4 linked regions of the Arabidopsis thaliana genome follow. The protein of the gene in region 1 binds, or shares a complex with, the protein of each later gene. Each region holds a gene or a part of one and is shown in the gene's direction. Other genes may lie near its edges. The genes, in order: PSRP4, rps8, EMB3137 and rps15.

Region 1 (7,960 bases):
TGTTATCTTTTAATCATTCTCTTTATCTTTTTAATCACTCTTTAATGATTAAGAATGGAGGATAATTGAAATATGATTGGTGTTTACTTGCAGTAACATTTATTACATAAACGATCATCTGGACAAGAGAACATGGACTTACATATTTGGCGCGTGTTGTGCAACCACTGTCTTTATACCGTCGTTTCACAATTACCGAATTTGGTCATTCCTTGGCCTTGGAATGACCACTTACACCGCTTGGTACTTAGCCATTGCCTCCATCATCCACGGCCAGGTAATGTTTTAATATATTTCACCAAAAATATATTTCATCACATTATAAAGATCACTACACTGTCGTTTTCATATTTATATGCTTTGCATTGAGGTGACAGTATATGCCTTAATTAAAAAGAAGAATAAAAAAAATTCGTATTTTCTCTTTAAGATCAGGGATTATTCTTTGCATCTTAACCCAAATTTGTATTAAAAAGTGTATGTATAATATAACTTAGACAAAATTAGCTGTTTAATATTCTCCTAATCAAATTTTTTTTTTGTTGTTTATTTTAGGCGGAAGGTGTGAAACATTCAGGTCCAACAAAGCTAGTGCTTTATTTTACGGGAGCCACAAATATTTTGTACACCTTTGGAGGTCACGCGGTTACTGTGTAAGTTACTCTTCTTTTGATTTCTTAATGATTATTAATTTTGTATCTAATAAAAGATCAATAAATTTTGTCAGACATAGTTGAATTACTATTTAAGTTAAAGCTAAATGGCAGAAAAAGTATATGGTAAATTAAAATGGTGCCATATTATTAAATTATGGGTGCTGCTGTATCGTTTCTTCGCCGCTTCTATTGCAGCTTTTGCCGGCAAATAAGGTGTAACTATTATTACAGTCATCATGATTGTCATTATTATTTTTAGCAATCCTTAAAATAGTAGTACTAATAAAATAAGCTCTTTTTAAATATAAAATAGAATAACCATTATTATTCCTATCCCTATAAAGAATAACAAACACTATTGCTACCAAAGCACTACTACTACTAGTAGGAATAGTACGCTTTTGCGAAATGTCAAATACACCCTTTTTATGCGTCAATGATTGTTGTGAATCCAATCTTTTACATAGTTAAAGTTTTGGATGAAATTATGAATATTAACAGTAATTTCTAATTTGCAGTGAGATTATGCATGCTATGTGGAAACCACAGAAGTTTAAGTACATTTACTTGATGGCGACGTTATACGTGTTCACGCTAACGATTCCGTCAGCTGCCGCCGTTTACTGGGCTTTCGGAGACGCACTTCTCGACCACTCCAACGCTTTCTCTCTTATGCCCAAGAACGCGTGGCGTGACGCCGCTGTTATCCTCATGCTCATTCATCAGGTATACACATACAACATTTTTGTTCTTTCTTTTTTAAGTAAATTTTGATCATGAGAGATTAATGCAACGTGTTCTTGTTCGTGCAGTTTATAACGTTCGGGTTCGCTTGTACACCTTTGTACTTTGTGTGGGAGAAAGTGATTGGGATGCATGACACAAAGAGCATTTGCTTAAGGGCTTTGGCTAGATTGCCTGTGGTCATACCTATTTGGTTCTTAGCTATTATCTTCCCCTTTTTCGGTCCAATCAATTCCGCTGTCGGTGCTCTTCTTGTTAGCTTCACCGTCTATATCATCCCATCTCTCGCTCACATGCTCACTTACCGATCTGCCTCCGCTCGTCAGGTATAACATCTTTACTAGCTCACTCTCTTTTAGCGTTTCAAAACTCGAACTTAACCTAAAATACATTGAGTTACCAATAATTTTTTAGAAATGAAATGAAGAGTCGGTGGAGGAATATTATAGTTGGGGGGTAGGGTTGTGAAATTGGAGGGCAAAAACGTCTTTTGTGGAAGATAGATGGGGTTCAGTGTTCCGTATCTTACGGAAGATAGGATCATCACCCACATTCCTTACTGGCGTCCCCTCCAAATAATATATTATTGAGTTGGTTTCAGCCATTTCTTTATTTGGTTACATTTAGAAGAAAAAATACAATATCCGGTTAGGTTAGTATTAGTAATTGACCATGACTTCTTTTTCTTTCTCTCTTTCAAAACAGTGTATATTAAATTTACGTAAGATAAAAGTAGAGGAAAATAGGGGAGAGGAATAGGTAAGAGTCATAATCAGAAATGAAAAGGAGCTGTACAATAGGGACTCTATGCCTAACATTAATCTAAAGTGAGAGTCTGAGTATGACAAATCACAATCATATCTCTCTCTCTCTCTCTCTATCTCATGGGTCAACAAAGCTTTGGATTTTGTCCATTACTATACGACCAAAACTCTAAAACACTTACACACTCTCTATTTCTTTAATGGTTCTCTGATTATTTTTGTGTTTTGGATCTTTCTTGTAGAATGCGGCGGAGAAGCCACCGTTCTTTATGCCGAGCTGGACGGCGATGTACGTGTTGAATGCTTTCGTGGTGGTTTGGGTTCTTATAGTCGGATTTGGGTTCGGTGGATGGGCTAGTGTAACCAACTTTGTTCGTCAAGTCGACACTTTTGGTCTCTTTGCCAAGTGTTACCAATGTAAACCAGCTGCAGCCGCCGCACATGCCCCGGTCTCCGCTTTACACCACCGTCTTTGAGAGATCGAGTCAGGGTTCTTCTAATGCGTTTGTGGAGGGTTCTTAAAATTATTTGTTCTTCTTTTGTGTTTTGTGTTCGTATACGTGAAGGGAGTAAAAGTCACGAAAATAGTGTACTTTTTACACACCCCTTTAAATGCGTGCTAAGCTCTTAATTATTTTTTTCTCTTTTGGGGTTTTGTATTTTTGTTTTCACTCCTTAGTTTTTTTTTTAAAATTGAATAGTCGATAATATGTAGTGTGTGATTTCTTAATTTGGTATTGTTAAAACAATAGGCTAAGAAAATGTATCGTCTTCTCTCCTTTTACTTGTCTTTAGTAACAAAAAACAATTCTTATCTTATACATTTATCCTAATTAGACTTATATAAACTATTTTACCATGAACAATATCTTCCGATACTAGATAATTCTTTAGGATCCTATTAGATCTTTTAATTATACAGTTTTGATCATAGCACAGCGACAATACTACTAAGTTTACATTAAAATTTTGAAATAACACTTTAATTTATTTGGAAAATTTGATTTAACGGCAGGGTGTGTTTAAAAATTAAATAGGGGAACATGGACAAGTTGGACCGACGGAGCCGGTCATATATCCTATGGGCCACATGGGTGTGGGGAGAGGACGCACGTGGATACTTCGTCCGAGTCACGTGCCATTATTTACTTGACACTCTTCATCTTCTCTCTGATCAAAAGAATGGATCAGAGGACCGTTCCTGTCCCTCATATTAAATATGGCATGTGTTCGTTCCATTCGTACTCAATCGTTTACCCCTTATCATATGCTCTGCTTTCACATGTACTTTGCCCCCAAAGATTATAACTATATATGTAAAATTATTAACTAATATTCTCGTTTGAATCCAGAGTCCGATTCTTGTACTTTCCATCTGACTTTTTTTTTGTTGGGGGTCAAAATAAAAAAGAACTTTGCAAAAATGTTTCTTCTAATAGCATAAAATCGTTAAAGAGAAAAGAAGAAGTGAATGTGAGTCATATTATGCGATATGGAGTAGGACCCTTGGTAACGTTTGGTTAGTGACCCTTGGTAACGAGTGGGTTCAAATTGTCAATAAACTATTATGTGGCGAGTGGTGAATCGTCTTTAATTTGTTCTGATTTAGGCCATGTGAGTTTTGCAACTACATTTGAGGCTTTTCTTCTTCTTTATATTAGACTTTTTTTTTTTTGTAAAGTGGACTATCTGGATACAAAAAAAATCTCGGCTAACATGGATAAATCTAAGATGGTTGTGTTTGTGAAAAGAAAATTGTTTTATAGTAAAATACGGTATGCAATAAAAGTATTTCATAAAATATCTCATACCAATTATTCAAGCATGTCTTTTCATAACATTTGACTGGCATCTTTCTCTCCTTTGGCCTTAAATCAATTTTTTGTCATCTTGGATTTCTTTTGAGGTATATAGAGCTGTTTGAAAATTTTGATGGCTGAAAATCACTTCACATCTCGATTTCTATATCATCCACTTAACTCGAAGTCAGGAGTAGCCTGAGACGATTAGGTTAAGTTAAGTGGTTATATGAATTTGTAACAACATTTAGATCTTTGTTTCCAATCATCAACCAAGTTTGAGAGACCTTAAAAACGTATATACGCACACCACAAAGTGATATGAATATGCTAAATTGTTTCTGTAGACACACAAGACCGTTGAAACGTCCAGATTAATCGCTTACTCCAGTCGAGAATACTTCATAAACATGGGACTAGAATTGTACCAACACATAATATTTCTTCATACGAAAGAGAACATAGTCTTAGCATGTTCAGGATTTAGAATACATTGAAGAAACACACATCTTCGTTCATGGCCTTAAGGTACACGAGGCCTAGGAAAGGTCTCATACTCTTGTTGGGTTTGAACTTGAGAAGGTATTTGAGGTACACGAGGCTTAGGGAACAAGAGCTTCAGGCGAAAAGCATCCATCCCATTCAAGTAATAGTGGTATAGCCGTTTGGCTCTTATAAACCCGAGTCGCCCATATAGTGCTAATGCTCCTTTGTTACTCACTTCTGCCTCCAGAGTTACCTTCAGCCATACATCTTTACATTAATTAGATTGCATAACCAGACAACCATACTCTCATGTTGTAATCAGGCTTGATTATGAGGAACTTGAAGAGCAAATGCCAATCACGAGGTTCTTTTTCCAATCTATTTACTACTGAGATTACAGTTAAGAGATCACACATACAACAGAAAATGATTCGTCGAATACGCAATTAGTAAGTGGGAGACAGGGATTTCTTATTTTATATTACTATCAGTTACATTCCAATGCGTGTGACTATAAAGAGTCATGGACTACATACAAGACTTATACAACATATGTATACTAAGTGAGAGACTGGGATTTTGATTTCCACTACAAAATTAGTAACTAAACGAATATCGAAAAGTTCCAACTCTTAGGAGTATGATTAACTACTTTTATACGTGGAACTAAACTTACACACACAGTTAGCTAAACAATCAAAAGCAATAGGTATACTTGCAATGATTAAAGGCAGCTACATCACCTCAGCTATGAAATTCTATTCTAGTAGATAAAAAGGAGGCACTATTTCAGGACATGTAATGGACTTATAACCTTCCGGAAAAGGTGGTTCATAAGGTCTTATCTACATTTATACTACCAGGAAAGGATATCACTCTAGTGCTACCAAATATCTAAGTTCTCCAAAGTGGGAATAAAGAGAGAAGTGAGAATGCAAGAACAGCATACCTCTTCACAGCCTGATTCCATCATCGCTTTTATCGCTCTTGTGACAAGCTCTGAGGCTGTAAAAAAACAATGACAAGTCAGCACACAAAATTATCGAACCTTAAGAGAGGCATGTATTTGCAGTAGATCAAACACTACTCCCACAGTCAAAATCTGATTCTGTAAGAAGTTAGGAAGCACTAGCTCAAGTATTACCTATGCCTCGGCCACGATATGGTTTAATCACAACCAACATAGCGATGTACCCTCTGAAAGTCTGTCGATGATCCCCCATCTTACAGACTATGGTTCCTACGCATTTACCTTTGTGAAAGGCCTATTAAAAGAAACAAAACAAATGCTACTCATAAATCCATCAAAACATAAGTATCATGAGGGTAAAGCAACGATAATCGAAAGCTGAGTGTCAAAATACCAGGAAGCATAGCTGCGGCCAGAGGTAGACGAAGTACCGGTAAGTAAAGATGGAGTAAGGTTCACTAAGTTCTTGGTCAACAAGAGACATAATCAATGGCAGATGATGCTCACCAGCATAACTCGTGTACTCAATCTCACCCTCATCGAATTCTTCTTTATCTTCCATCTCTTTCTCCATTGCAAGAAGTGATCAAGATCCCGAATTGTATACTTACAAAGAGAAATATGAACTTCTGATCAGTTGTTTATACATTGATGATCTTGTTCCTATAGGAAGTGATGAAACACATAATGCAAAGTTAGAGAATATAAATCATTTTCTGTGAATCGAAGTTGAGTGATTGTTTCAGAATTGAAAGTTCAATGTTTTCATAACAAACTCAGATTGCTCAAAGCCTCAAATAAACAGCTGAAGCAGAATCTATAACACTCTACTAAAGCAAACGACTTTGGCTAAAGCGAGCTATAGAAGATTTGAGAGTTCAGAAAAAAGAGAGCTTACCGATGTTATGTGACAATAGGATTAGTAAAGAATCCTGTGAAGCATAAGAATGAAAAAAACACACACAGATTTTAAATACCAAGTAATGAGAGATTTAGAAAGAGATGTGATTATAAAAATTGAAACTTTTTAGAAACCCAAGATCAATGAGATGATAAGAATACTTACCAAAAGTTTGAGCTTTGTGAAATTCGAAGATCAAAAGTTACGATCTGGGTGATATCTGAAGAAAAAAGCTCCGAAGAGAAGACGAAGAAGAACAAGAACAAGAACAAGAACAAGAACAAGGTCGATTACACACGTGACAAGCATGTGTAGGGTTTAGATATATTTGGGCTTTAAAATAAGCCCAATTGAAATTAAAGCCCAAATATGAAAAGATAATTAAAAGCCTATCCTAAAATCGTTTTTCTACTCTCACTGCCTTATCTTCTTCTGGATCTTCTTCTTCGAACAAATTCGAAAACAGCACACGGCGATGGCGTCGCTTATACTCGGAGCTCCTCCGCGAGTCACCGTCGCATTACCTTCCTCACGGTTATCATCTTCTCACTCTGAAACTGCCGGTGTCTCTCTCTCTTGCTTCACTCATCAATTCTCTCTCTCCACTTCCTCATCCAGCTCAATTCCACTCGGTAATCTCCCTCTCTTATCTAACTCTCTCTTAATTCGTCAATGGCGTAACTTTTCCGGTGTTCGCAGTGTACTGTGGCAGAGGTGACCGGAAAACAGCTAAAGGAAAGCGTTTCAATCACTCTTTTGGGAATGTAAGTAATCAAATTTCTCTTTCCGATTTCGTAATTTTACTTTGCAAATTCGCAATTTTGGTTTTGAATTTGGGGTTTATGTAAGCAGGCGAGGCCAAGAAACAAGAGCAAAGGAAGAGGACCGGAGAGAGTACCGGTTCCTCCAGCACCACCGAGGAAAGATAAGTTTGAGAACGACGAGAAGATCAAAATCGATATCGACGAGTCTCTCTTCTCTAATTAGAAATATGAGATTCTTCACTTGTTGTCTCTCACTGTAATTTTAATTTGTTTTTTGAAAAGCTTTGATGCTACGACTCTTTTGTTGTTAAAAACATCTCCAAAGTTCTCATCTTTTTATGAAAAGTTTGCTTCTTTATGAATCATTGAGTCTTTTACATTGAAAAAGTAAAGCAAACTAAGAACGAGAATCTATATACTTAGATAGATCAGATGGATGAATCATCTGTCTCTGTTTGGATCTTTAAATGTGAGAGTTTGTGATGTTTCCGCAGACTGTGCAGTGAGTGGAGACGAGAGTGTGCATTACACTTCCTTCTTCAATCTTAATCTTCCTTGTGACTTTGTTCCACAGATGTATCATGTAACTCCCTTTGTTCATGTCCTGTACTGTCTTCTCTACCCATTTTGCTTCTCTTGTGGTTGCAGGTTTCTTGAAAAGCTTTTGGATTTTGATCCAGTTTACTGGATAGAAAGCATCGGGAGAAAAGATTGTGAGATTGTTGTATCCAGGTTTGTTTCCTAATCTCTTGATAACTCTAGAGACTAGGTAAGGGCTGTTGTATCCCCATTTGTTTCCGTCGAAAGTTGTGGCATACTCTTGCAAGAATTCTCGCATTAGCGGATGGTAGATGTCAAAGACCATCACTGCGTTGT
Region 2 (3,373 bases), on another chromosome or scaffold:
AATTTGGAAAGTCTATGAGGTCACTGTAAGAAAAGCAATGTAATAAAGCATCAATACAGATTCATTCAGAATAATTAGATAAATCTGTTCCGAAAACAAAAAAAATTAAGAGCCTTGAGCCAATAAAAACTAAGAAAATTGACTCAAAAACAAATAAAAAAAATGAAATTCCCGATTTCATATAAGAGCTCCATTGTAGAATTCGGGCCTAATGATTAATCAAGAAGCGATGGGAACGACGGAACCCATGAATATAGAGGATTCTATTGAAAAATAAATCTTAGTAATTCATTGGACAGGATGGCGGAATAAACCAGATTATTATCTATTCTTATTTTTATTCAGAGATCTCCTGGGATAAACAACAAACTTAATATAGATATTGAAAGAGTAAATATTCGCCGGCGAATACTTTTTTTTTAATAAAAGTAATAAAAAACAAAAATTAAAAAGATAAAAGAAAATAAGGATTTGTTAGAATATTCTAACAAAAACGACATTCGAGATGATGATATTACGTTACGTTATTTTTAAATAAATAGAATTAATCTTGGATTCCATTTCGAAAAAGACATACACAAATTTAGAAGAGATCAGATGAAATTGAATATCATGATTAATAGAATTAATCATTAACTATATCTTAATACAAGCTTTTTTAGTCCTTTTATTCGCGAGGAGCTGGATGAGAAGAAACTCTCACGTTCAGTTCTGTAGTAGAGATGGAATTTCTAATTTAGAACCATCAACTATAACCCAAAAAGAACCAGATTTCGTAAACAACATCGAGGAAGACTAAAAGGAATATCTTCTCGTGGGAATCGTATTTGTTTTGGCAGATATGCTCTTCAAACACTTGAACCCGCTTGGATCACATCTAGACAAATAGAAGCAGGGCGACGCGCAATGACACGAAATGTACGACGTGGTGGAAAAATTTGGGTACGTATATTTCCAGACAAACCAGTTACAGTAAGACCTGCGGAAACGCGTATGGGTTCTGGGAAAGGATCCCCTGAGTATTGGGTAGCTGTGGTTAAACCAGGTAAAATCCTTTATGAAATGGGTGGTGTACCCGAAAATATAGCAAGAAAAGCTATTTCAATAGCGGCATCAAAAATGCCTATAAAAACCCAATTCATTATTTCTGAATAGGAATATATAATGAAAAAACTAAATAACATTTAAGGGTAAAAAGATTATAAGTTTTCTTTTTTTGACAAACAATATTTTTTTACTTCGTCCTTTGCATTAAAAGAAGAGATACAAAAAAAATGATATGATTCAACCACAAACCTATTTGAATGTAGCAGACAACAGCGGGGCTAGAGAATTGATGTGTATTCGAATAATAGGAGCTAGTAATCGCCGATATGCTCATATTGGTGACGTTATTGTTGCTGTAATCAAAGAAGCAATACCAAATACTCCTCTAGAAAGATCAGAAGTGATTAGAGCTGTAATTGTACGTACTTGTAAAGAACTCAAACGTAACAATGGGACGATAATACGATATGATGACAATGCCGCAGTTGTCATTGATCAAGAAGGAAATCCAAAAGGAACTCGAGTTTTTGGGGCGATCCCACGGGAATTGAGACAATTAAACTTTACTAAAATAGTTTCATTAGCTCCTGAGGTATTATAAGATCTAAATATCGATAGCGATAGTTAGTATCGGATTAAAAAAACAGGTATTGAAATAAAATTAATTAATAGATTCTGTATCACGCATATACCCTTAATAATAAAATATTAAGAATTTAATTCATATATTAATATATAATTCGTCTATATCTATATATAAATAAAAGAAAAAGAACATGTTGATTATATCAAAATTATAGAACAATAAGGAATTTTAACTTATCATGGGGAAAGACACCATTGCTGATATAATAACCTCTATACGAAATGCTGACATGAATAGAAAAGGAACGGTTCGGATAGGATCGACTAACATCACGGAAAGTATTGTTAAAATCCTTTTACGAGAGGGTTTTATCGAAAACGTAAGGAAACATCGCGAAAACAACCAATATTTTTTGATTTTAACCCTAAGACATAGACGAAATAAGAAAGAATCCTACAAAACGATTTTAAATTTAAAGAGAATAAGTCGACCGGGTCTACGAATCTATTCTAACTCTCAACGAATTCCACGAATTTTAGGCGGAATAGGAATTGTAATCCTTTCGACTTCTCAAGGTATAATGACAGACCGAGAAGCTCGACTAAAAAGAATCGGCGGAGAAATTTTGTGTTATATATGGTAATCCTTCTAATATAAAAATTAGATATCTGTAACTTACAATTTGTGAAAAAAGGGGGTTGTGTAATACCACCCCTGTTCAAAAAAGTTTCGGATGTTTTACTTCGAATGAAATTAAAGAAAAAATGAATTAATAAAAGTTTTCTTTCTTAATCACTTCCGAACGGCATGGTTCGATTTTGTTTAGATACTAAAGATTTTTTTTCGTTCATGCTTCTGAAAGGATTCGACATATTTTTGTATAGGTATACCTATAGGATAAAAAGGTAAAATTTTGAGTAAGTTCTTAAGTATAAGTTAATAAGGGGACAGCCATTTTCTAGACTCCATAATAAGTATTCAAATGAGTAAGTGTTTTTTCAATTTCAACCATTCCTTTCACGAAGATACAATTCAAGATTCAAAAATATCAAGAAACCTTTTTTTCGTCCACCAATAAATATATTCACAGAATTAAGGAATAACAACTATGAAAATAAGGGCTTCCGTTCGTAAAATTTGTGAAAAGTGTCGACTAATCCGCAGGAGGGGACGAATTATAGTAATTTGTTCCAACCCGAGGCATAAACAAAGACAAGGATAATCTTACTAAAGGAACTAAAGTAAAAGAAAAGGCACTTCCAAAGAGTTGGAAAAAAGGGTCTATTTTGACCTGAAATGGATATATCCATATATTTCTTGTGAAATGAAAAAAAATGGCAAAACCTATATTAAGAATTGGTTCGCGTAAAAATACACGTAGTGGTTCACGTAAAAATGTACGTAGAATACCAAAGGGAGTTATTCATGTTCAAGCAAGTTTCAACAATACCATTGTAACCGTTACAGATGTACGGGGTCGGGTGATTTCTTGGTCCTCCGCAGGTACTTGTGGATTCCGGGGTACAAGAAGAGGAACACCCTTTGCTGCCCAAACCGCAGCAGGAAATGCTATTCGAGCAGTAGTGGATCAAGGTATGCAACGAGCTGAAGTAAGGATAAAAGGCCCTGGACTCGGAAGAGATGCGGCATTACGAGCTATTCGTAGAAGCGGTATACTTTTAAGTTTCGTACGAGATGTAACCCCTATGCCACATAATGGTTGTAGACCCCCTAAAAAAA
Region 3 (8,998 bases), on another chromosome or scaffold:
ATAGAAGTTAATTCAATGATTGCAAAAATCCAAGCACTTGACGCAAGCAACATCGTCGTCATTGGCTTTTATCCCAACAACTATGATCACCATGATCTAAAACTGTTTAAAAAATGTTTAACCTTAATTTATTTTGGTCCGATCAAATCAAATCTTCTTAAAGAAGAAGAATAAGAGTTATTTGATATTTTAGTAGAAGTGATTACTTCATTGATTCTTTTACTACAAAGTAATAATAATAACCAAATGCATTCTCTCGAATGAAAGTAGGTACAATTGTTATTTTATTCTTTTTGTAAAAGTAGGTAGGTACCATTTATTTTGGAGAACACATATTTAATTCTGAAACGGGTCAATTTTCGTGAGTTTCATTTTTTTTTCTTATAAAGGTTTTGTTAATATCAAAAGTTTTGTTTATTCTATGTTTTTTTTCTAATCCACGAAAGGTCGCATTGACCTAATTCACCTAACTATAAAGAAGTAAAGAACACATTGATAACATATATAGTGAGCATATAATATAAATTAATACAAAACTTATTGTGTCGCACATGTGGGATATATGACTGGGTTTCCTATGTGCCCGTTTTTGTGTGAAGCGATATATAGTTTTTGTGTGAACACTTCCAATTTGACAATGAAACATTATTTGAACAACAACGATGATAGTGATCCTGACTTTGACAGATCAAACTAAAATTGACATTATACTTTTCAAAACAAACGATATATATAGTTTATTCAACTGAGTAAAATATTTTCATCATATATGTATTCCTTTTTAATTAGTCATTATATATATGCATACATATTGTACGGGCAAATTATGATACAACATCACACGCCATGCATAATCCACATTTTACATAAAAGAAACTGCTAATTACTTGCGATAATTATATAGATATATTATATTACAATGTTATAGTACATTCATCATAAGAGGAAAAGATTATCATCAAGATTGGCGAAGAGGTCCCATGGTACAAAAGGATCCGTCATATCCAAGTCCCATTGCTCTAAAGAGATCGAATCTTCTGCAAGATATGATGAAGATTCACTTCTTGAAATATTACTACATAGTGAAGAGAAAGACGAAGAGGATATCTCATTGCATTGCGTTTCAAATAGAGATTCCAAGTCTACTTCTTCTGCACATAGAATTTTGCAGTTTTTCGCCACAAGTTCCTCATCATTATCAGATAACATTAATGTTTTTGTTGTTTCTGTGATAACATCATCTTTTGGAGTTTGATCCTTGATCTCTTCTCCTTCATTGATGGTAGAACACATATTTGGTTTTTTATCTTGATTAGGATCGGTTTGATGAGTAATATCATTCATCGGTTTGTGCGTAGCCGGATCCAACCCAAGATGTTTCATCTTCTTCTTGATCTTCGTATTCCAGTGGTTTTTGATCTCGTTATCCGTTCGACCAGAGAAATGCGAGGCAATTTTAGACCACCTACAATGTCCAAAGCATCCATAAAACATGAAAAAGCAAAATTAAAGCGTATAGCATATAACATGATTATATCAATATATAACACTTTATATTACAAGTCTCATGAATTAAACCAAAAAAATATAATCTATGGCATGAAAGTTATATATACAAAAAGTAATATCGTATGTAGAAATCTCCACATAATTTGTTTTCGTAGCCGATTCTTCACTCAGAAATAACCCACTTCAATGCACAAGTACTATATACGTCAAACTTTTATTTTTAATTTTTAACCCACTTCCATGCACAAGTATATACGTCAATTATCTAAGTTTTGGTGTAAATATGGTTTGTAACCAATGTAAAATAAATAGTTCTCACAAGTCTTAGAAAGATATTTATATGACTTAAAAGGAAGATGACTCAAACATATTGGATCTAAATAAAGTATACGGTGTTACATTCGAGAGAGATTTCATATGAAAAAGCTAGTTTGACGCCGGCTAATGAAAATATATGGATAAGTTTTATTTTTCAGATTATCGTACCGGTTGCCAAGTTGAGAGTGAAGTTCCATAATCCGATCTTCTTCAGCATCAGTGAAACCACCTCTCTTGAGATCGGGTCTCAAATAATTGATCCATCTCAATCTACAGCTCTTCCCGCATCTCAACAAACCTTCATGTACACGTAAACGTTTAACTCCCCAAGAAAAAAAACGAATATAAAGGAAACCTAATAATGCATGCATGTATAAATAATGAAGTACCTGCGAGTTTGGGGACAATTCTCCAGCAGTGGATGCCATTGTTAAGAATGAAGTTCATGAGTCTATGATCTTCTTCTATAGTCCATGGACCTCTCTTCAATCCAATTTTGTCACAGCACGGTTTTCTCCCCATTGAAATTTTTCTAAGGCAAGCTAATAAATCACACATATAACTAATGCTGAATTAAAGCAAAACCGAGAGAGCTTGAGTTAGTCAAAAATATAAACAAGAGAGCGTTGGATCAAGTAATGGGCATTACTTATAAATAATAAGAGGTGAGTTGGGAAGGGCAAAGATTCTCTCCTTTGACAGGTCACTTACAGGCTAAAAGACAAATAAATCCAAATTTAAAGCAAAACACTAGTAATAAGTGAAGCAGTAAATAATGATTGCGGAGACAATTAAAGAAAGATTTGGTGAGAAGTGTGTGAGGTTGTATTACAATAATTATGGACAAACTTCTTTTGAGCTTATGATTCATTACCTATCAAAGTTTGCACTAAAGCCATACTTAATTTAATAGGTGTAGATAAATTAAATGCAATCAACTAAGTACATATATGCATATGATGATATGAACATTGCATAATTATCTTTTGTTGTTTCTATAAAGACAGACTAATTATTTTATCGTAGATAATGGTGGCAACATGACTTTCATGAGTTAAAAAACTGAACCATAATGATTAATTATTTGTTTGCTTTATTGCAAAATTGTTATTTTAAGCTTATGATTACCATATGATATATGATATTACTTTAATTGGTAATTGAAGGAATTTCATTGATTGATTAAAAGTTTGGTTAAAAGAAACGATTTGAGATTTGTTTGGATTCATCGGTCCCCTCTTCAAAGCCTTGTGCTTATTCTGTCATCAAGGCATCTTCTCTTTTTCATTATTCTATTTGTAAATAATTTGTTCTTGTTAAAAACATTTTGAGGAACTCGACTTTTTACGTCATAATTTGTTAGTTTGCACTACACCGTCATGATTAGGCAACTTGCTTAATAAAGAAAGTCAAGTTTGAATTCATCTAGTCATGCTATTATATTTAAGTATTTTCAGTTAAATAAACAAAAACTCATCTAGTCAGCTGAATGCCAAAAGAACTGAACTAGCATCGTCAATGGTATACTATTAACGACGATTAGTATGTACATAAGATTATTAATTTTGACATCATTATACAAGATTTATAAGATTTTAATTTCCTTGAAATGTCCAAAACATTATCTTCACGTATTCTTATCGTGATGATATTTAAAAGAGTTATGTACTTATCAAAGTTAGAAAATTTACATACATATTAATTATCAGACAAACCCCTTATTTATTATAAATGTAAGTGAAAAAATATATTTATAAGCAAAGTGATTGATATTAGATGTCATTGGAAAACTACACTTGTTGGAACCATTTTCCCTCCAAATATGTTTACTATTGTATTTTGTTCCAAATATGTTAACTGCTGTATATGTGTAAATACTTAATAGCAAGAATATCTATTTTATATAGATTTCAGGGTTTAATCATATCGATTTCTTAGTTTGTTTATTAAAGTATTTTGAAATAAGGTTCTCATATTGAACTAATTAAGTTGCTTAGAAGAAATGAAGGTTAGGAACAATTTGCATTAAAATACTCCAAATACGGAGTGGGGTTTCGCGTTAATGCATGGAGGAATATTCGCCATGTACTTGAAGGTATGTGCATATATCCAAATAGGGATCAAATATTAGAAATCTATCTAATTATAGATCAATTCTGAAAGACATTAGGCTATATGTCCTAGTCTATTATAATGTTTAATTACCAACCTAAATTTAGAAATCTGTTAGGAAAACAAATTATATAACCAAATTGCATTAGTTTTTCCTTAATTGAATATTTAACCCTTCATGCCACACTCTTAATTAACACCCAAAGAAAAAAAAACCCGCCATGACTCATATATAATGTAATGTGATAAACAGATAATGTAAACATTACAATTTCCATTAAAGTACTATAGAAACCTAGGTAACCGATCGATTATTACTTATTAGACGTTAAAAGAAATTAGATATTTGATTTATAGTCGACGTGTATGTATATATATATACATACATCTTTCTTTTCCGTATAGCTTACATTATAGGTAGTCAACAAACTTACTATACTTCAATATATTTAACTTTTGTGTGGTACATCAAGAAAATAAAATTGCAGCTAACCAAATATTCGTTTTTGTTTTGGTGCACTGAACTGAACTAAAATTTAGAAAAATGTAATATAGAAGAGTATTGTTGTATATGAGAGGGACCTCGACAAAATCACAAAAACAATAAATAATACGTGAGAGACCGTTGGGAAAAAGAGTATATACGGAGCCTACGATGTGTAAGAAAAATTATTAATGCAAGGGACCAGAATCATATTTAGGCCCACTAAAAAGCACTGTCTCTTTAGGTCCAACTTAATCTTCATATAGTCACTAATTGGGCCTAAAAATTGTAACTGTAGTTATGGATAGCGTTACGTAGAATATTCGTTTAGCATATCAGTTTCTCCTTTCCATTCGTTAACTAATTTTTTCTTTGCAAACATACTGTATCTACCGTTTTATCAAATAATTTTCTTTTTATTATTTGTTTGTTTACTAGAATTACAGTTTTTTCAAACAGATAAATAATCATATTAATAATAACATTTGCTAAATTTAGTTAAAAGAATCATGGTGTTACTTTTTAAGTTTTACTGGTTTGCTTTCAAGTTTCAAGAATGATTGTATAGTACTTTCGGATGTTTGATCTTTAAAACTTGTTGGTACAGTTGGAATGCTTTATTGGAAATATCAAACTATCACCAACGCTAACATTTCTATTCTTTTTGAACTTCATCAAGAGCCAAAGCCCCTGATCGGCCTCACAAAAGACACCATTTTCTTTGGTCTCCGGCAACAGAACATGGATTGGAATCAATCCCTAATCAAACCGGGTCAATTTGGCTTAGTCAAGAAACGTCCCTCTTATGTAACAGCTGTTCCAGAACGGCAGAACATTCACGAACATATAAATGGGTGTCCACTAACAAATTCAAACACATAACCATGATCACTCTGTCCTTTTTTCCATTTTTTTAAATATTCAAGTAAACAACATGTAAATTATAACGAATTTAGGTCGTCTCAACATCATGACTCATTCACATGCGTTGACTTTTAACCCACTAAACATTTTTTATAGGACCCCTCTCTCTCTCTATAAATTCGACCCCCTTTGTTGATAGATCATACAGAGAACAACAAAGAAAGAAACCAAATAAGAAGAAAAAGGAGAAGAACATTCAAATGGCACCAAGAAGTTCTTTGATCCGCTTCGCCTTCATCTGCATTGTCTTGGCCGTGATGGTCATGACTGCTGAGTCGCACAACGGAACCCACCACCATGGTCCGGCTATGGCTCCAATGCCACCCATGGCTAAGGCTCCGTCTCCAAGTGCCGCCACTTTCTCCGCCTACCCTCAGCTCATCGCCACCGCATTGGTCGCTGCTATGTCTTTCGTCTTCTGATGAGATGTGTTGCCATTCATCTTCAGAATATGTTTTACTCTCTATGAGATTTTATTTTAATTTTCACATGTATTCCTTCTTTTTTTGTTAATTCTTCAAAGATTGTGATGTTGTGTTCCTATCATAATAAAACATTTATCTCTTGATGTTTTTTTTATTATCTTAATCATATTTTCCTCTTTTTCGAACCAAATCTTCTAATCAAGGCATTATAATGGCCCGTTTGAGAAAAGGTGGACTTTCTTTTTAAAATCAACTAATTCATCTTAAGGTTATAGAATAGATAAATATCCGAAGTAAATATATAAAATAAATTGGGTCAGCCTAAACAAAATAATGAAATGCAGGCCTTACGTGACAGTAATGGGTACGCCTCAACAAATAATGGTGTATTCACTATTCAGACGTTGGTGTCAAAATCAATGAGTGATATCCTTATTAGAAGAACGACAAGCTTTAAACTAGTTTCATGTGTAAAGTACGAAACAATAAACATCATGAAAACACTCGAAATATTGTAGTAAACTTGCCAACAAAACCATGAGTACAAGTGTACAACTCCAATGAATCAGATATATATGCAAGATGGAAAAAATCCCCAAACACCTTAAAATACAACAACATGTGACAATAACGAAGTGAACGACCATCTCGATAAATAGTTAACAAGACTCATTCTCATCCGTTGACTTTTCATCTATACACTTACCATTTTTTTTATACAATCTTTTTCTATCATGACTCTATCCTCAATAGCTACGTGCCCACATGGAGCCAAGGCTCATGCCTTTCGTCTTCTGATCAAATGTGTGTCATTGATCACACCATTCATCTTAGTTGTTAAGAAAATATCTGTAAATCATTTTTTTTTTCATTTTATAGTTGTATCACTTTATTATAGTCCACTCGGTTTTTGCATTTTTGTTATAGTCCACTAGTTGGGCCGTGTTATACAATAGCGAGCCTATCTCAACAAAAAACAAAGCCCAACAAGTATTTATTTTGCCAGTTTTGTAAGCAATTAATTGAATAGAGTAAGTAGAGACGGAGCAAAAACAAGAGAAGCGTTTGGATTCGACGTTTGCCTTATCCGTTCAGCTCATCTTCTTCTTCTTCTTCGTCACCTCTGAATTAGTTTCCCAGAATCCGAAATTCCTAGGAAGAGAACATAACAATGGCGCAGATGGTTGCGATGCCCGTAGCGCACTCGCTCTCACTCATTTGCAATTGGGCAAAATCCAATCCTCTCTCTCGCAACACTCTTGCCCTCCCAGCTTCAAACACTCCCAATGTAATCATTTCTCTTGGACTCTCTCTTGCGTATGATGTTGTAATTTATCGAGCTTGACTTCATGTTTTTTTATGTGTTACTTCATTCTTGTTCGTCAATTTTTGGGTTAGGGGTGGTTATAGAACACTCCATCAATTTTTGGGGGAATTTGTCTCTGTGTTTTTAAAGTTTTTTTTTTTTTTTGTAATGAAATGCAGAAGCAGAGTCTAAGCATCAGATGTGCTCGTGTTGGTGGAGTGGAGATTCCGGCTAATAAGAGAATTGAGTACTCTCTTCAGTACATTCATGGGATTGGTCGAACTAGGGCTCGTCAGATTCTTGTTGATCTTCAGATGGAGAACAAGATTACTAAAGACATGGCTGAGGAAGAACTCATCATTCTTCGTGATGAAGTCTCCAAGTACATGATTGAGGGTGATCTGGTAATACACTTTCCCTTACATTTACACACTTTAGGACATGAGTAATGTGCATCATAGTTTCAGTTTCTGTCAGTCCATTCTCGAGCAGTTTCTTGAAGATTGGAGAAGAACTTAGGCTGCTATCTATTTGGTGTTTTCATTGCTTTAGTTTGGGTTTCCTCTTGTTTTGATTTGGTTCTTAGGCCTTTGTGAATGAATTATTGATTTGTGTTGTGGATGTTGTGCAGAGGAGGTTCAATGCTCTTGCAATCAAGAGGTTGAAGGAGATCCAGTGTTACCGTGGGGTAAGGCACATCCAAGGGCTGCCATGTCGGGGACAGAGAACCAAGAACAACTGCAGGACTCTTAAAGGCAAGAAAATTGCTATTGCAGGGAAGAAGAAAGTTTCCAAGTAATCATCTTCATGATCTCCTTCTTCTTCTGTAATACTCTTTTTAGTTTGTCTAGTCATCTCTGTTTAAATGTGATTTGTAATTCCCAAACCTTTGTTCGAACTGAGCCCTTTCCAGTTTATCTTCGGCTTTTTAGCTATTATTATTCCGTATCTTCATCATTCATTATAAAGTTACAAAAGAAGTTGAAGATTTCAGCATTCAAGAATGATGACAAACCAAGAACAAACTTGAAAATTTGGTCGAACCAAAAATGGTTTATTCAGAATACGTACATATGAATACATAAGTAACCAAAAAATAAAATTTTATAGCTTTTGCCAAAAGACTCGATCTTGGATTGTCTCTAATCCTACCCAGAAAATCTTGCTATCACACAAAAAAAAGGAAGAAAATGAATAATAACAGGGTAAAAATTTTCAGTAAGAGAACTCATGGCCGCGGAGTGAAATGTATTTCTTGACCCAAATGGCAATATCTTCGGCGCAGGCCTGTGCCTGAGGAGTCTTGAGAAGCATATCAAGTGTAGCAAACTCATGAACTGCGTCTTTGTATTCTAAAACTGGAGAATCTACGTTTACCTTTCTAAGCTCTTCTGAATAAGCAATGGCTCGGTCTCTCATCCAGTCATGCTCAGCTACTACTGTAAGTGTTGGAGGCATTAGCTTCAGAGGTGGTCCACTGCGGTTATGGGCAAGTGGGTTTGCTGCCGGGTGGTCAAAGTCGAACTCTTTCTCTGGTAAGAAGAGTTTCCAGGCTAGAACAGAGACAGGCTTATCGTAGAAGTAAGAGTTTGCCAGCTTTATTTCGGACTGTGTTGGGTTGTTTCCAATGAAAAAGGGGTACATTAGAACCTGTGCAACAACTTTCACCGGTTCTAGAAGTTTCCCAGCTTCCACTGCTTTCCGAGCTACATAGTCTGCTATGTTCCCACCACAGCTCACCCCGAGAAGAACACATCTGTTTTAACATCATATGAAGCAACAGGTTGAGACACAGAAGTTGATGTGAGATTGCAATCAATGGAAGATAAGCTATCTTAGTTCATCTAACTAGTTGTCCAAAGAATCCTGACTTTGTACCAAGTTACTCCTAGATCAACATGAAACTATTCTTAAGATCTT
Region 4 (5,447 bases), on another chromosome or scaffold:
ATAAACTTTTTTTTTTTTCGTTTGATATATGGGGGCTAAAAAAAAAAATTATTAAAAATTTCATTTGGAAAAAAAAAATTGATAAAAAAGAAGAAGAACAATCAAAAAGAGAAGAAACAAGACGGATAGAAATTGCAGAAACTTGGGATAGCTTCCTATTTGCTCAAATAATAAGAGGTTCTCTCTTAGTAACTCAATCAATTCTTAGAAAATATATTATATTACCTTTATTGATAATAATTAAAAACAGTGTCCGTATGTTATTATTTCAATTTCCCGAGTGGTCCCAGGATTTAAAGGATTGGAAACGTGAAATGCATGTTAAATGTACTTATAATGGGGTTCAACTATCCGAAACAGAATTTCCAAGAAACTGGTTAACGGATGGTATTCAGATAAAAATCCTATTTCCTTTTTATCTTAAACCTTGGCATAAATCTAAATTTCAAGCATCTCAGAAGGCTCGACTAAAAAAAACAAAAGACAAAGGAGAAAAAAATGATTTTTGTTTCTTAACAGTTTGGGGAATGGAAACCGAACTACCGTTTGGTTCTGCCCAAAGAAAGCCTTCTTTTTTTGAACCTATTTCTAAAGAATTAAAAAAAAGAATCAAAAAATTAAAAAAAAAGTCTTTTGTGGTTTTAAAGATTTTCAAAGAAAGAGCACCCATTTTCCTAAAAGTCGCAAAAGAAACTAAAAACTGGATTCTCAAAAACTTTATTTTTATAAAAGGAATTTCAAAACGAAATCTAATTCCATTATTTGGCCCGAGAGAAATATATGAATTAAATGAACCTAAAAAAGATTCAATAATAAGTAATCAGATGATTCATGAACTATCTGTTCAAAATAAATCCTTGGAGTGGACAAATTCTTCACTTAGCGAAAAAAAAATCAAAAATTTGATTGATAGAAAAAAGACAATCAGAAATCAAATAGAAGAAATTTCAAAAGAAAAACAAAACTTAACTAATAGTTGTACCAAACTGCGTTATGATTCTAAAATAATTGAGTCATCAAAAAAAATTTGGCAGACATTCAAAAGAAAAAATACCCGATTAATTCGTAAATCCATTTTTTTTTTTAAATTTTGCATCGAACAAATGTCTATAGCTATTTTTCTAGGTATCATTAATATTCCAAGAATTACTACACAACTTTTTTTTGAATCAACAAAAAAAATTCTTGATAAATATATTTACAAGAATGAAGAAAATGGAGAAAAAAAAAAAAATACTCTTTATTTTATTTCGACTATAAAAAATTTAATATCCAATAAAAAAAAAATGAGTTATGACCTATGCTCTTTATCACAAGCATATGTATTTTACAAATTATCACAAATTAAAGTTAGTAACTTTTGTAAATTAAAGGCTGTTCTTGAATATAACATATGCATAACATCCTTTTTTGTTAAGAATAAAATAAAGGTTTTTTTTCAAGAACACGGAATCTTTCATTATGAATTGAAAAATAAAACCTTTTTGAATTCCGAAGTAAATCAATGGAAAAACTGGTTACGAAGTCAGTATCAATACAATTTACCCCAGATTTCATGGGCTAGATTAGTAACCCAAAATTGGAAAAATAAAATAAATAAAGATTCTCTAGTTCTAAACCCAAGTTTAACCAAAGAGGATTCATATGAAAAAAAGAAATTTGATAATTATAAAAAACAAAAATTTTTTGAGGCCGACTCATTATTAAATCCAAAACATAATGTAAAAAAAGATTCTATATATAATCTTTTTTGCTATAAATCTATTCATTCTACAGAAAAAAATTTTGACATGTCTATAGGCATTGCCCTAGATAATTGTTTAGTCTCTTCTTTTCTAGAAAAATATAATATTCGGGGTATGGGGGAAATTCGGCATAGAAAATATTTGGATTGGAGAATTCTTAACTTTTGGTTTACAAAAAAAGTAACTATTGAGCCTTGGGTTGATACTAAGAGTAAAAAAAAATATATTAATACTAAAGTTCAGAATTATCAAAAAATTGATAAAATAACGCAGACGGATCTTGCTAATAAAAAAAGAAACTTTTTTGATTGGATGGGAATGAATGAAGAAATACTAAATCAGCGTATAACAAATTTTGAATTTTTTTTCTTTCCGGAATTTTTCTTATTTTCTAGTACATATAAAATGAAACCATGGGTCATACCAATCAAATTACTTCTTTTAAATTTTAATGAAAACATAAATGTTAATAAAAAGATCATTCGAAAGAAAAAAGGTTTTATACCATCAAATGAAAAAGAATCCCTTCGATTTTATAATCTGAATAAAGAAGAAAAAGAATCGGCCGGTCAAGTAGAACTTGAATCAGATAAAGAAACAAAAAGAAATCCCGAAGCAGCTCGATTAAACCAAGAAAAAAATATTGAAGAAAATTTTGCAGAATCAACAATAAAAAAACGTAAAAATAAAAAACAATACAAAAGTAATACAGAAGCGGAACTTGATTTATTTCTGACAAGATATTCGCGTTTTCAATTGCGATGGAATTGTTTTTTTAATCAAAAAATTCTCAATAATGTAAAAGTATACTGTCTCTTGGTTAGACTAAACAATCCAAACGAAATAGCGGTATCTTCTATTGAAAGAGGAGAGATGAGCCTAGACATTCTAATGATTGAGAAAAATTTCACTTTTGCAAAATTAATGAAAAAAGGAATATTGATTATTGAACCTGTGCGTTTGTCTGTACAAAACGATGGACAACTTATTATATATAGAACCATAGGTATTTCATTGGTTCATAAAAATAAACACAAAATAAGTAAAAGATACAAAAAAAAAAGCTATATTAATAAAAAATTTTTTGAAAAATCCATTACAAAATATCAAAACAAAACTGTAAATAAAAAAAAAAATAATTATGATTTCTTTGTCCCTGAAAAAATTCTATCCCCTAAACGACGTAGAGAATTTCGAATTCTAATTTGTTTCAACTTAAAAAAAAAAAATGCTAGGGATACAAATTCAAGATTTGATAAGAATATTCAAAACTTGACCACCGTTTTGCATAAAAAGAAAGATCTTGATCTTGATAAGGATAAAAATAACTTAATTAATTTAAAATCCTTTCTTTGGCCCAATTTTAAATTAGAAGATTTAGCTTGTATGAATCGCTATTGGTTTAATACTACTAACGGAAATCATTTCAGTATGATAAGAATACGCATGTATACGCGATTTCCAATTCCTTAATCATAAATACTTTTTACTATATATAATAAGTTACGGTATATGAAAACAACTATATGCACAAATATGAGGGATTGTTTTAAATTAAATCTTTATACATGAGATTAATTTAATCAATCACATAGATACCAATTATAGCGGATTCATAAATAAATTAACAGAATCCTTCTTTTTGAGATCTAAATTTAGATTTTTTTCTAAAATGAAGAATTAAGAGGTTGATAATTAAATTAAGATCCTTGTACAAAAAAACTACCATTATTATTACTGATCAGTAAAATTAATATCTTTCAATTCATATTAAAAGGGGAAGGATTTCTTTTTATGATAAAAAATATAGTCATTTCATTTGAAGAACAAAAAGAAGAAAGCAGGGGATCCGTTGAATTTCAAGTATTTAGTTTCACTAATAAGATACGAAGACTTACTTCACATTTGGAATTGCACAGAAAAGATTATTTATCTCAGCGGGGTCTACGAAAAATTCTGGGAAAACGTCAACGACTGCTGGCTTATTTGTCAAAAAAAAATAGAGTACGTTATAAAGAATTAATTAATCAGTTGAATATTCGGGAATTAAAAACTCGTTAAATTCAAAAATTGTGAATTAGTGAATTTTTTAGATCTTGAATTTTTTGATAAACTTCTTTATTCAGAAATCTAATTCATGCCAGAACGAATCAAGGAAAAACTTATGAAGAGACCAGTTACAGGAAAAGATCTTATGATAGTCAATATGGGACCTCACCACCCATCCATGCATGGTGTTCTTCGCTTAATTGTTACTCTAGATGGTGAGGATGTTGTTGACTGTGAACCCATATTAGGTTATTTACACAGAGGAATGGAAAAAATTGCAGAAAACCGAGCAATTATACAATATTTACCGTATGTAACGCGATGGGATTATTTAGCTACTATGTTTACAGAAGCAATAACAGTAAATGGACCAGAACAATTGGGAAATATTCAAGTTCCTAAAAGGGCCAGCTATATCAGAGTAATTATGCTGGAATTGAGTCGTATAGCTTCTCATCTGTTATGGCTCGGCCCTTTTATGGCAGATATTGGTGCACAGACTCCCTTTTTCTATATTTTCAGAGAACGAGAATTTGTATATGATCTATTCGAAGCTGCCACCGGTATGAGAATGATGCATAATTTTTTTCGTATTGGAGGAATAGCGGCTGATTTACCTTATGGTTGGATAGATAAATGCTTGGATTTTTGTGATTATTTTTTAACAGAGGTTGTTGAATATCAAAAACTCATTACACGAAATCCTATTTTTTTAGAACGGGTTGAAGGAGTTGGGATTATTGGTGGGGAAGAAGCAATAAATTGGGGTTTATCCGGACCAATGCTACGCGCATCCGGAATACCATGGGATCTTCGTAAAATTGATCGTTATGAGTCTTACGATGAATTTGAATGGGAAATTCAATGGCAAAAACAAGGAGATTCATTAGCTCGTTATTTAGTACGACTTAGCGAAATGACAGAATCCATAAAAATTATTCAACAGGCTCTGGAAGGACTTCCAGGGGGTCCCTATGAGAATTTAGAAAGCAGGGGCTTTGATAGAAAAAGGAATCCAGAATGGAATGATTTTGAATATCGATTCATTAGTAAAAAACCTTCTCCTACTTTTGAATTATCAAAACAAGAACTTTATGTAAGAGTTGAAGCTCCAAAAGGGGAGTTGGGAATTTTTCTCATAGGAGATCAAAGCGGTTTTCCTTGGAGATGGAAAATACGACCACCGGGTTTTATTAATTTGCAAATTCTTCCTGAACTAGTTAAAAGAATGAAATTGGCTGATATTATGACGATACTCGGTAGCATAGATATAATTATGGGAGAAGTTGATCGTTAAAATGATAATTTATGCAACAGCAGTCCAAACTATAAATTCTTTTGTTAAATTGGAATCTTTAAAAGAGGTCTATGGACTCATATGGATATTTGTCCCTATATTTTCTCTTGTATTGGGAATCATAACAGGTGTACTAGTAATTGTGTGGTTAGAAAGAGAAATATCTGCAGGGATACAACAACGTATTGGACCTGAATACGCCGGCCCGTTGGGAATTCTTCAAGCTCTAGCCGATGGGACAAAACTACTTTTCAAAGAAAATCTTCGTCCATCTAGAGGAAATACTCCTTTATTTAGTATTGGACCATCTATAGCAGTTATCTCTATTTTACTAAGTTATTCAGTAATTCCCTTTA

Evidence for each region.
Region 2: PSRP4 (region 1) and rps8 share a complex: the UniProt entries of both Arabidopsis thaliana proteins name them as parts of the 30S ribosomal subunit.
Region 3: PSRP4 (region 1) and EMB3137 share a complex: the UniProt entries of both Arabidopsis thaliana proteins name them as parts of the 30S ribosomal subunit.
Region 4: PSRP4 (region 1) and rps15 share a complex: the UniProt entries of both Arabidopsis thaliana proteins name them as parts of the 30S ribosomal subunit.

Annotation. Positions count from the first base shown.
Region 1 is NC_003071.7:15,974,153-15,982,112, forward strand, and holds PSRP4 (plastid-specific ribosomal protein 4), read left to right. Parts: upstream 1-6,695; 5' UTR 6,696-6,795; coding exon 6,796-6,952; intron 6,953-7,019; coding exon 7,020-7,084; intron 7,085-7,172; coding exon 7,173-7,307; 3' UTR 7,308-7,460; downstream 7,461-7,960. Other genes in the region: AUX1 (Transmembrane amino acid transporter family protein), read left to right, coding at 94-277, 556-653, 1,175-1,382, 1,469-1,726, 2,407-2,640; ATMAK3 (Acyl-CoA N-acyltransferases (NAT) superfamily protein), read right to left, coding at 4,487-4,702, 5,399-5,454, 5,594-5,714, 5,814-5,993; AT2G38150 (alpha 1,4-glycosyltransferase family protein), read right to left, coding at 7,548-7,960.
Region 2 is NC_000932.1:78,971-82,343, reverse strand, and holds rps8 (ribosomal protein S8), read left to right. Parts: upstream 1-1,871; coding exon 1,872-2,276; downstream 2,277-3,373. Other genes in the region: rpl14 (ribosomal protein L14), read left to right, coding at 1,280-1,648; rpl36 (ribosomal protein L36), read left to right, coding at 2,742-2,855; rps11 (ribosomal protein S11), read left to right, coding at 2,968-3,373. UniProt on the Arabidopsis thaliana protein: One of the primary rRNA binding proteins, it binds directly to 16S rRNA central domain where it helps coordinate assembly of the platform of the 30S subunit.
Region 3 is NC_003076.8:4,616,718-4,625,715, reverse strand, and holds EMB3137 (Ribosomal protein S13/S18 family), read left to right. Parts: upstream 1-6,734; 5' UTR 6,735-6,943; coding exon 6,944-7,060; intron 7,061-7,257; coding exon 7,258-7,482; coding exon of another isoform or gene 7,483-7,527; exon of another isoform or gene 7,528-7,709; coding exon 7,710-7,877; 3' UTR 7,878-8,293; downstream 8,294-8,998. Other genes in the region: MYB40 (myb domain protein 40), read right to left, coding at 937-1,465, 1,996-2,125, 2,217-2,385; AT5G14330 (uncharacterized protein), read left to right, coding at 5,165-5,277, 5,496-5,769; CXE16 (carboxyesterase 16), read right to left, coding at 8,294-8,834. UniProt on the Arabidopsis thaliana protein: Located at the top of the head of the 30S subunit, it contacts several helices of the 16S rRNA.
Region 4 is NC_000932.1:121,655-127,101, reverse strand, and holds rps15 (ribosomal protein S15), read left to right. Parts: upstream 1-3,539; coding exon 3,540-3,806; downstream 3,807-5,447. Other genes in the region: ndhH (NADH dehydrogenase subunit 7), read left to right, coding at 3,910-5,091; ndhA (NADH dehydrogenase subunit 1), read left to right, coding at 5,093-5,447.